Linked DNA regions of Arabidopsis thaliana. The protein of the gene in region 2 interacts with the protein of the main gene of each other region in a pairwise test. Each region holds a gene or a part of one and is shown on either strand. Other genes may lie near its edges.

Region 1 (6,301 bases), on a different chromosome or scaffold from region 2:
AAAAAAATTAACATGATAATCCGATTTTTACCTTTCCGCAAAAGATGAAAATGATTCACTGGTCCGGTGAAAAAAACAAGACTATTTTGACGACGATGATTATAAATGACTTATAATGTCATTAGTTTGATAGCGACAAAATTTTTATTTGCTTAACGGGTACTATGATCTAAAAGAATCTAATATGTTTGTCTTTAACAACAGTAAATGCTTCGGAAAAAAAAAAGTTCTAAATATGAAATTAGAGATTGTAACTTCCACCAAATAATCTAGATACATGTAAGAGAGAATAAGGTTACTGTTTTAATTGCCAATCTACTTCTTGCACAAATCTCTTAATTTTGTATAGAGACTGTATAGTATAACCTTCCAAATAATTGAACAAAGTTTAATATTGTCCCATGGTAAATCACCTAGTCGAAGTATTTATATCTCATTATTATGAGTTTTTGACAAATCTAGAAGTCTAGAACTAAAAGTTGAGAAACTATTATTGAAAAACGGGCAACAGTTGTAATTGTCTGCTTAAGGACCACGTAGCTTAAGTACCGTCGTGGTGTTTCTTTCATGGAGCATATCTAATTACGGTGAAGAAGAAATAGTTTGTAGTAATATTGCTGTTTCTTGTTTAAATAAAAGCATTAACATCTTGTTGTGTATTTTTACATAACATTTTTGGAACTCAATACAGGTGACACAAACAAATATATATGGTGGAGATAGTTTGAATCAAGATCAGCTCTCTGTGAAGAAATAGGAATTATATAGAACAAGGCCTCGTCCCATTCCTAACCTAAGAAGATCCCGTACATAATGTTGCTTACTTTTTGTTTTACGGACCCGATTGTACTCTCCCCATGTTGGGCGGATATGGGTAAGATGAATTGTTCAAGGACGAGATGTCACCATTTTGAGTCTCGTTCTTTGTTTCTCTCTGGCCGTACTGATTCATACCGCTATTTAAGCTAGCATAGTAGGATGACATGGGACTAGCATGAACAAACCTGAAATTGACTCCATTTGGGTGAGTTTGGTTGACAAGTTGTTGATTCTGGTGCTGATGTTCGTTGGAAGCGTGGTTAGGTCCATCAGATGAGATTCCAACACCAAGATTGAGGCTGATGGTGTCTGTTTCATCTGGTCTGAACCGAGGCTGGATTTCGTGATTGCTGCTAGACTTTGAAGTGGGAACATCATGATCGTGTTTGCCTTCGTATGTTGTTATTACAGCTTTTGGATCATGTGATGCTCTCTCCACGTGTTTTCTCACTGGGCATCCATGAGCTGTGCATTTGTAGTAGCTCCTACAAAAGGCCGAGGAACATCATGAAACATAATATCTCCATTGCGCACATGTTGAGTCTGTTAAGATCACTATCTTCCATATTCCAAACCAAATTCCTAAAAGAAGCAACACTTTATGCACATGTCAAATAACTAGGTCCTGAAGACAAGGACTAAACTGTTCTAGCTACCATTTTGAACTCGCAAGTTATGTTTATGTATGTTCATTCGAGAAAAAAGCAAGGAATTTTTTGGGGTGTTAAAAGCTTTAATGCTGTACAAACCTGGGATTTGGGTTCCCCCTTACGACTTTCTGCCCATATTTGCGCCATCTATAACCATCATCCAGAATGTCAACCTCACTCAGAGTTTGAACAACAACCCGAGGCTCCCGGATGGGTTTCACTAGTGGAGTTATTTCCATCGCACCCTCCATCCTCCTACATAAAGTTAAAATAAAGTTTTAATCATGTCAAATCACAGATTCAAATCAAGCACCTGAATCCTTTGTTAAACTCTAATACCTCCGTTTTGAGAATGGATCATCATCGTCCGGCTCATCTTTATTCCTATTTGACGCTGCCGCTTCTCCACCATCGTCAGATGCTGAGATAGGAGGTACTTCAGGGTTACCAGTTTGTTCATTGGGGTTAGACAAGTTGTAGACGCCAGATCCCTTCTCTGTATGCAGACATAAGAGTAGAAGGAAAAAGTTATAGATATTGCCAAGGGAGTAAGTGCATATTTGTCTCAAGTTTTAGTTATGATTACCATCTCGGCCAGTTGAAGAAGGATACTTGTCTAGCCTTTCTTCTTGTGCAGCCATACCACCAGAGTTTCGGCGACCAGGTTGAGGTTTAGGATGGTCATGTGTACCCTTGTATATAATATCGGTGATCTGCCCATCATGAGATCTTTCAAATAACTTTTTCACTTCACAATTAGGATGTGTACATTTATAATAGCTCCGGGGAAATTCACTCCCTTTGACATGCTTTTGACCATATTTTCTCCAGTTATAACCATCATCAGCCAAGATGGATGGAGTGCTTCCTCTGGAGTCATTTTGGGAAGTCTGGATTGATTCCTCTTGATCAGATCCAGCCGGAATATCTGAGCTCGTTGGTGTCATCTGACAAGGAGGAGTTGGCCGGCTTAGCTCACTTGAGGAACCTGCAGCATCACTGATCGAAGAAGGTGAGTGTGAGGATCCATGGCCCTGGCCTTGAAAATGTACTGGTGGCTCACTTCTAATCTTGCCAAGCTCTGCATATACCTTGAAATCAATAAAGATGTTTAGACAAAGTCATCCCCCAACAATATACAAGTAACTTATAAACTGTGAGCTTTTGGATACAAGGCTCCTTATGAAACAATTTAAGGCTGGCATGGTATTATATGTATGCAAAGGCGAAAGATTTTGAGATTTACAAGCAATCCAAGCGCTGAATAAATAGACTTCGTGCAGAAAAATTAGGTCAGCCACTGTTCGGGGTTCATATGTCGTCGACTATCTGAACAGTACATTACATGCAAAGCATAACAAACAGCATTGTTTTGGACAATACCATATTTGATGCAGGAGGTCTGAACTCAAATTCACTGGACTTCTGCTCAGTAAAGGTGTTCTGATGGAACCCCCTGCCTGTATAAGAACTTGAGCTAGCAGAAATGTGCACTGGTCGAGGCTTGAACAAAGAACCAGTAGTAGGGGAAGGTTCTGGCTGAAAGTTAAAGAAAGTGGCATATTATTAATGGCATGAATAAAACAATACATATCAGATTTTGTAAAACATGAACCTGATCTATCAATAAACATGATGTTTTAAAAAAAACAGTCTTCTAAAAACAAAAACAATATCTTGTTCAATCAAGGGATAAGAAGATATAACTAAGAGATGCAAAATAAAATTGAGCACATAGCATATAACCTATTATTCATAACTTAATTGAACAAAACGAATACTCTATAGATCTAAATGGTGAACATGCGAGTAAAGTACATTTTCTCACCAACAGAATCATTCAATAGCTCATATAAGTAAAAGGAATCCCCACACAGACGCAGCTAACCGAAACCTAAATGTACAAAGAATGGAAAAAGAAAAGAGAAGCACCAAACACATGGAAGATAGACACTAGACAGTATGAAGAAGAAACGACAAAGAGCAAGAGGATATAAATAAAGTATCCAGCACCAATAGAACATGATAAAAAAAAAAGGTTTATTCGAAAGAACAATCTGAACGGACACAAATGCAAACCAATGCAGAGTATAGTAGCACAAAGAATCAGAATCTTGGCCAAAGTCCCTAACGTAAGCAAACAAATCATAGTTTTTTAATCACTTGTAATGGACTAAGAAACAAAAATGGAAACCCAAGTCCAATGTTTTTCCTAGTGAGCAAGCAGAGAGCATCTCCACCAAATTACCAGAAATTCCCCACTAACATGAACAGTGATCCAAATCGAAATTGAAGCAACGAGAAACCGAACAAGTGGGACAAAATGTCAATGTTATGAATCAATTCCAATTCCAAACTCAGTTTCAAAATGGCACAATCCAATTTCATGAAAAATCCTTTAGGTCTTAAAAATATGAAATCAGAAAACCTAATTTCTCAAATCGACAACAAAAATGAGGTGAAACTGTGATTGCATTTACCAAAATCGAAGAAGAAGAAGAAGAAAGAGATAGTAAAGTAGCTGCTTAAACCTTGATGTTGGAGATGAAAACAGGAGATTCCAAAAACGAAGTCGGACTCAACCCAGGAGGAATCGTGATATCAGTCGACCTCGAGATCGGAAGCTTGGCCGGTGACATCAGCTTATACCTAGCACCTCCACCTCCGTTTCCTCCAGCTGAATCGTGCTTTGCCGTGAGATCTCCCGTCGCCGAACAATCTCCCTGAAACTCCTTCCGGTCATTAGCTTGAGGGTTCATTTCAGAGATTCGCAAGGGTAGAACAAAAATGAAGGAAAAAAGAAGCTAAGGGAAAGTAGAAGAAGCTCTCAGCTATGGCGAAATGAGAGAGATTTTGGTCTCTGCGTTAGTGAAGATTGTAGTGAAAGATGAAAGAACGATATTGACTTCACACCTCTCTTAATTCTTTGTTTTTCCTTTTCATTTTTTTAATAATTTATTTTCTTCTTCTTCTTTTTCTCCTTTATTTAGCTTTATCAATTTCTAAAGCAACAACAACAAACGTTAAAGTTGACAAAAACAATTAGAAGATGTAAACAATCCTCTTTTTTTTTCTCATGTACATTTGTCAAAATGTAAAAGATAAAAAAGTTAGTGTAATCAAAATTGCTTGTTTAAAGAGTTGTTGGAACCAGAAACATCCTAAATCTCAAAGTAAGAGTGTTGTAGCATTGGTAGATTGACACAGTCAGAAGCAGTATTGTTGATGATAATTAAGGATCAGGTATCAACAGTCTCAGGTCTTTTAAAACTTACCTTTTTGAATCTTTTGTGCGCCAATGATCCGTTGCTTCGACTCTCGTCTATCTTATCTTCTGCGATGTTTATCAATAGTTCAATACCGACGCTGAAATAAATGTATTTGCTGATTTGTAACAAGTTTCTATTGTGATGAGGCCAAATATCAATCGCATCATCGACAATTACCACTCTACGCTCATCAACAGCAAGAAGATCGAGTGTCTTCTCATAAGGACTTTGTTCTCTGGCTAGGACTCGATCTCCAAAGTATATTTTTTTCCGGATCAATCCACTTCAACACGGTCTGAGCGTAACTAGAATCACCCATTGTGTATACGTGCATGATGAAACGCTTGTTGGCTTCTAATAGAAATTCATGAAGAAAAGGTCGTAGCTTTATCATATATTCGCTGGGAGTGGATCTCTGTTGATTCTCCACAGATCTGACCTTGAATCAGCTCCTTCGATTAGATACTTCTGCTCTTCGGAAAGGTCCGAAACAAGTACCGAGTGGACAAGCGTGTGGTCCAAGTCAAGGACTAGGTGAAACTTCTTCTTCTTATCATCGTTGAGACAGGCCATTTTTTTCTTGTTTTGGATTTTGGTTGCAGAGTATGATTGTTGGCTCCAAACAAGTGAAACTCTGTAATCGAAAGAGAAACCCTAATTTGATCGGTGATAATGAAATTGATATGCTATGATTATGTATTATATAGAGAGGATATGTGTGAGATATCTTTGGGCCGTTCTCAGTTTCTTTCATTGGTTTAAATGGGCCTAGGCCCTTGAGTCAAATTACCTACCAAATTATGTGGGAGTTGAATCGAATTTTTTTTGTTAAAAATTTAAGCTATTGGTTTATCTTGTGGGGTAGCGGTTGTGTTCTATTTGCGTGGATAACAGTTAGGATATATAATGGTGAGTGGTGACATTCTGGATCCAAGTTGGTCCACCTCAAATCTTGTTAGAGAATTTTTCAAAAAAAAAAAAAAACATGTTTCTTTGGTTGTAAAACTTCCAAAATGTGTAAAAGATAAGAAGAATATGTGTATATATCTCTCAATACTGTTCAATGCCGTTTCAGAATAAAACTATGTAATTCTTTTCTAAACCAACAATTGTTTTACTTGTATTTTAAATAATTATCAATCCATGTTTTGATAAAAACTGATAATTCGAAAGTGGGTAACTCGGTAAAATGATAAAGCAACAGAAAATATATCATAACTATTCAAAAATATGTGACTAGTGAAGATTTTAGATAGTAATTTTTTCTTGGTGCAACACTCATATCATATACATAGTCTTGTCATTTTTACATATTAAATTTAATGTCTAGATTAACAGAAGAAATAAGGAAAAACTCGATAACTGTTTTTTTTTGGTAATTAAAAAACTCTAAGAAAATCTAGAAACGGAAAAGTTTGCATGAAAATTTCCAAAGTTCAAAAAGGTGTTGTCCCCTTCACATAACCACACCATCATCATAATTTTGATCAAACATTTGACCAAGAAAAAGGGGTGGTTTCACTATTTTAGTTTGGTGTACTTAAGATTTTGAATTATTTAAAG
Region 2 (3,386 bases):
ATCTCGGAGCTCGAACAGAACATTCAAGACGCAAACATCGTTCTTCTCAAGTTCCGAGCTTTATTATTCTCGCTTTTCCCTCAGGTCAGCCTTCCCTCTTATATTTAACACAAACTGCTTCTCCTAAAGCTGTGTCTAACCACAGTTTTGAAACCGCTATTTCAGGCGAGCCAGAAGTTTGCGATTGCGATTGTGGTCGCAGCGACGATGATGGCCTTTGTTCCGGGACGCTACTTGCTTTCGGTTGTATTTGTTGAGCTTTTCACAAGATACTCGCCACCAAGGAGAGCTAGCACGGAACGGTTAATAAGGCGGTTGAGAGAGTGGTGGTTTAGTATACCAGCGGCTCCAGTGGTCCTTCTACATGACAAGAACAATAAGAAGAAGAAGAACTAATTGGAGAGCGTCTATAGTTGCCACAGACGTACATATATACTTATAATCTATACATTTATGTATGTATGTATGTATGCAGTTTGTGTATGTATTAAGCTTAATTTCGGGAGCCAACTCTTGAATTCAATAAAATTTTACAAAAATAATGAATTTTTGAAATAAAAAAGATGATCACAGAAAAATTGTTTCGAGTATATAAAGTAATTAACTAAAGGAAAAATAACTATTAACTAATTTCAAAAATTATTAGTCCCTTTGAAGACCTCCTCCAATGAAGAAAAAACAAATTATTTTTCCAAAACCGGAAATAATTTACGCCGGATAACTTAAAAATCGCGAAACTCCGTCAAGCCATCGAAGCCAGAAGATGAAGAAGAAGAGAAAGAGCTTCTCATATTAGGCGCGAAGAAAAGCGGATCATCAAAATTCGCAAACGGTTGATTACCGCATAAGAAATTATCAGCTGGATTCGCCGGCGGGAAAATCGGAAATGTCGGTAAATAAGCACCGTAGTTTATCCCCGCAGCGTCGTACATAGACGGTGGCGGCGGAGGTGGAGGAGGATGAGGCGGTGGCTGTGGAGGAATAGCCACCGCTGAATACGGAAGAGAAGAATTAACCTGTCCATGTTCTCCGATGTTCTCCTCAGTTGTTATCACCGACGACGATTCACTATCTTCACTTATCATCGTGTTATTAAAAAATATCCCCTTTCCGTTTCCGGCACCGGAGTAGTTTCTAAGGTAATTATTACCGCCGCCGCAGCGATTGCGGTTGTTTTTTCTGTCGACGGTTGGTTCAGAGACGGTTCGGTTGATTGATTTTACCACCCCGGGATCGGTCATTGCGTTACCACCGCCGAGATCTTCGTCGGAGTGGGTCATTCCGGTGAGTTTTTGAACAAGAGCCATGAAATCTTTAGGATTAGTGTGTATGATTCTTGGAGTGTGTGTGTAAATGATCACCGGGTGACGAGGCTTAGCCGCGGAGGAGAAAGAAGACGGAGACGGTGGTTTTTTAATAACGTGAGAGTCTTTGTTGACTTTTAAAGTTGGCGGTGACGGTGAAGGTGAGGGAGTGTATAAGATTCCGGAGTTGTTTTCATTGGGTTCTCTCTTTGGATGGTGATGGTGATGGTGAGGGTGGTGGTGGTACGGATGGTTGTCCTTGTACGTTGAGCTCATTTCATGTGTAATAAAAAAAAGGGATTGTGACGTTTTTGAATTAAATGAATAAATGAATCATACATAAGTATAACCAAAAGTAAGTTTTCATTGAAAGTAAAACAGAATGACAAAATTGAGATCCATTTTGAAGATAGGGAGGAGAGGAGTGTTGCCTTTTATAAGCTTCAGTCTGTTACAGTGAGCCACGTGTAATCTGGTGAGTGTTCCAAGTAAGCACTTATTAGTGCCACGTAAGTATATCATGTGAATTAGTTTATGAGGCTGATAAGCAGTTAAGAGATTATCGCCACTAGGATTGCTAAAATCCAGGTTTAAACTTCTAGAGGTAAATCATTTCCTTGAGATAATTATGGATTATCACATACTAATTTCCATTTTTTGCTGTTTAGTTCTGTTATATCTGTAACTGTAATCGCGAAGAATTACATGGATTTTGCCGATTGAAACATTTGAATCGCAGTAATCTAGAAGTCTGAACCAATTAAACCGTACCACCATCAATACATTTTGAAATTTACAATGGTTTCTTCTTCTTCTTTCATTCCCCTTTATGGATCAACCCGACCGGATTCACTTCTTTCAATGAGTTTCTCTGATTTCGTTTGTTATTTCACTTGCATCATCCTTGATTAGCTTTATGTATATCGGATTAGGAGTTATAGAAGAAATGGTCATATAATTAATCATTCTTTTGCAGTACTTGGAGTTATCAGATTTTTGATTAATAGTTTTGTGGCATATGGTTCTCACTTCATTGGTGAATCGATGGATGTGCTTTATTTGTAGGATTACAATGAAATCGTCTGTTGCATTTAGGCCTTCACATAATTGATGCAACTTAAGACATGTACATTAGTACATAGTCAGATCACTTCAGGTAATGACTATTCTTTTGTTCAAAGCGTTATATATGTGTATTGCTTATTATGGTTAGGATTAGTACTTGAATCGAGAGTATCTTAAAATAAGTCTCTCTGTTTCTTCATGAGTGGCAGGAGGTCTTCATCTAGAGAGACCATTGAAAGAGTGGCTCCTAGAGCTTTGGCCAAGAAATTTTTAGAGCATATTTAGGAACTGAAGTGTGCAAGTTTTCTGATTGCACCTGAATTGTTTCAATGTACTCGAAACTCTTTACATATCCTTCACATTTTGGTGCATTCTCTTAGCGTTTGTCGTTTTTTGATAAATTTGCATTTGCAACAACCTTGCTTGTGTGCCAGATAGAAATTAATATCGTCAGGTGTCCTGATCTCGAGTTTGCTGAAAAGGTGATAGCCGCATTTGTTGATGTAAGAACAAAGGGGAACTTTGTTGGTGGTGTGTTATTACCTTCATTGTTCGGACTTTTGCTTGCTTATTGATTAATAATAAACTTATATGCAGGGGCTTTGGTACACCTGTTTTCAATAAACTCGAAGACTGAACTGGCAAAAGCATGTATGTCGTTGCCTGCAAACAAAAGGCTCTGAGTTTGGAAGTGGCTTTGCAGGTAGAGAGATCTATTTCACTTGTTTCAACTAATTTAATGCCCTCTTGGTGACAAAGTAAAGTTGTATGACAGATAATGAGCACAACAGAAAATTCTTTCAAAGACACTGTTGTTCTGGTGGAATACATAGAGAAATCTCAAATGGTGAGATAACAGACATGAGAATTGCCTCAAGCCAACATCTACAATAGGAGTAAGTTGTTGTTTGATCACATCTGAGATAAATGAAAACCCTCTTTATGCAGTTTGCTCTTGAGGAAACTGGTGACAATTGGGAAGGAAAATGCATAGCAGAGAAACAAACTGAGCGTCTT

What was found. Proteins that work in one complex are often made in the same cells at the same time.
Region 1: the proteins of AT3G18360 (region 2) and WRKY20 interact in a two-hybrid assay, tested with the Arabidopsis thaliana proteins (one large-scale study listed by BioGRID).

Annotation. Positions count from the first base shown.
Region 1 is NC_003075.7:13,436,466-13,442,766, forward strand, and holds WRKY20 (WRKY family transcription factor family protein), read right to left. Parts: upstream 4,532-6,301; 5' UTR 4,229-4,531; coding exon 4,001-4,228; exon of another isoform or gene 3,310-4,000; coding exon of another isoform or gene 3,298-3,309; exon of another isoform or gene 3,009-3,297; coding exon 2,853-3,008; exon of another isoform or gene 2,561-2,852; coding exon 2,056-2,560; intron 1,966-2,055; coding exon 1,809-1,965; intron 1,725-1,808; coding exon 1,569-1,724; intron 1,305-1,568; coding exon 833-1,304; 3' UTR 540-832; downstream 1-539. UniProt on the Arabidopsis thaliana protein: Transcription factor. Interacts specifically with the W box (5'-(T)TGAC[CT]-3'), a frequently occurring elicitor-responsive cis-acting element.
Region 2 is NC_003074.8:6,300,105-6,303,490, forward strand, and holds AT3G18360 (VQ motif-containing protein), read right to left. Parts: upstream 1,709-3,386; 5' UTR 1,581-1,708; coding exon 723-1,580; 3' UTR 516-722; downstream 1-515. Other genes in the region: AT3G18350 (heat-inducible transcription repressor (DUF639)), read left to right, coding at 1-84, 166-396. UniProt on the Arabidopsis thaliana protein: May function as negative regulator of plant defense.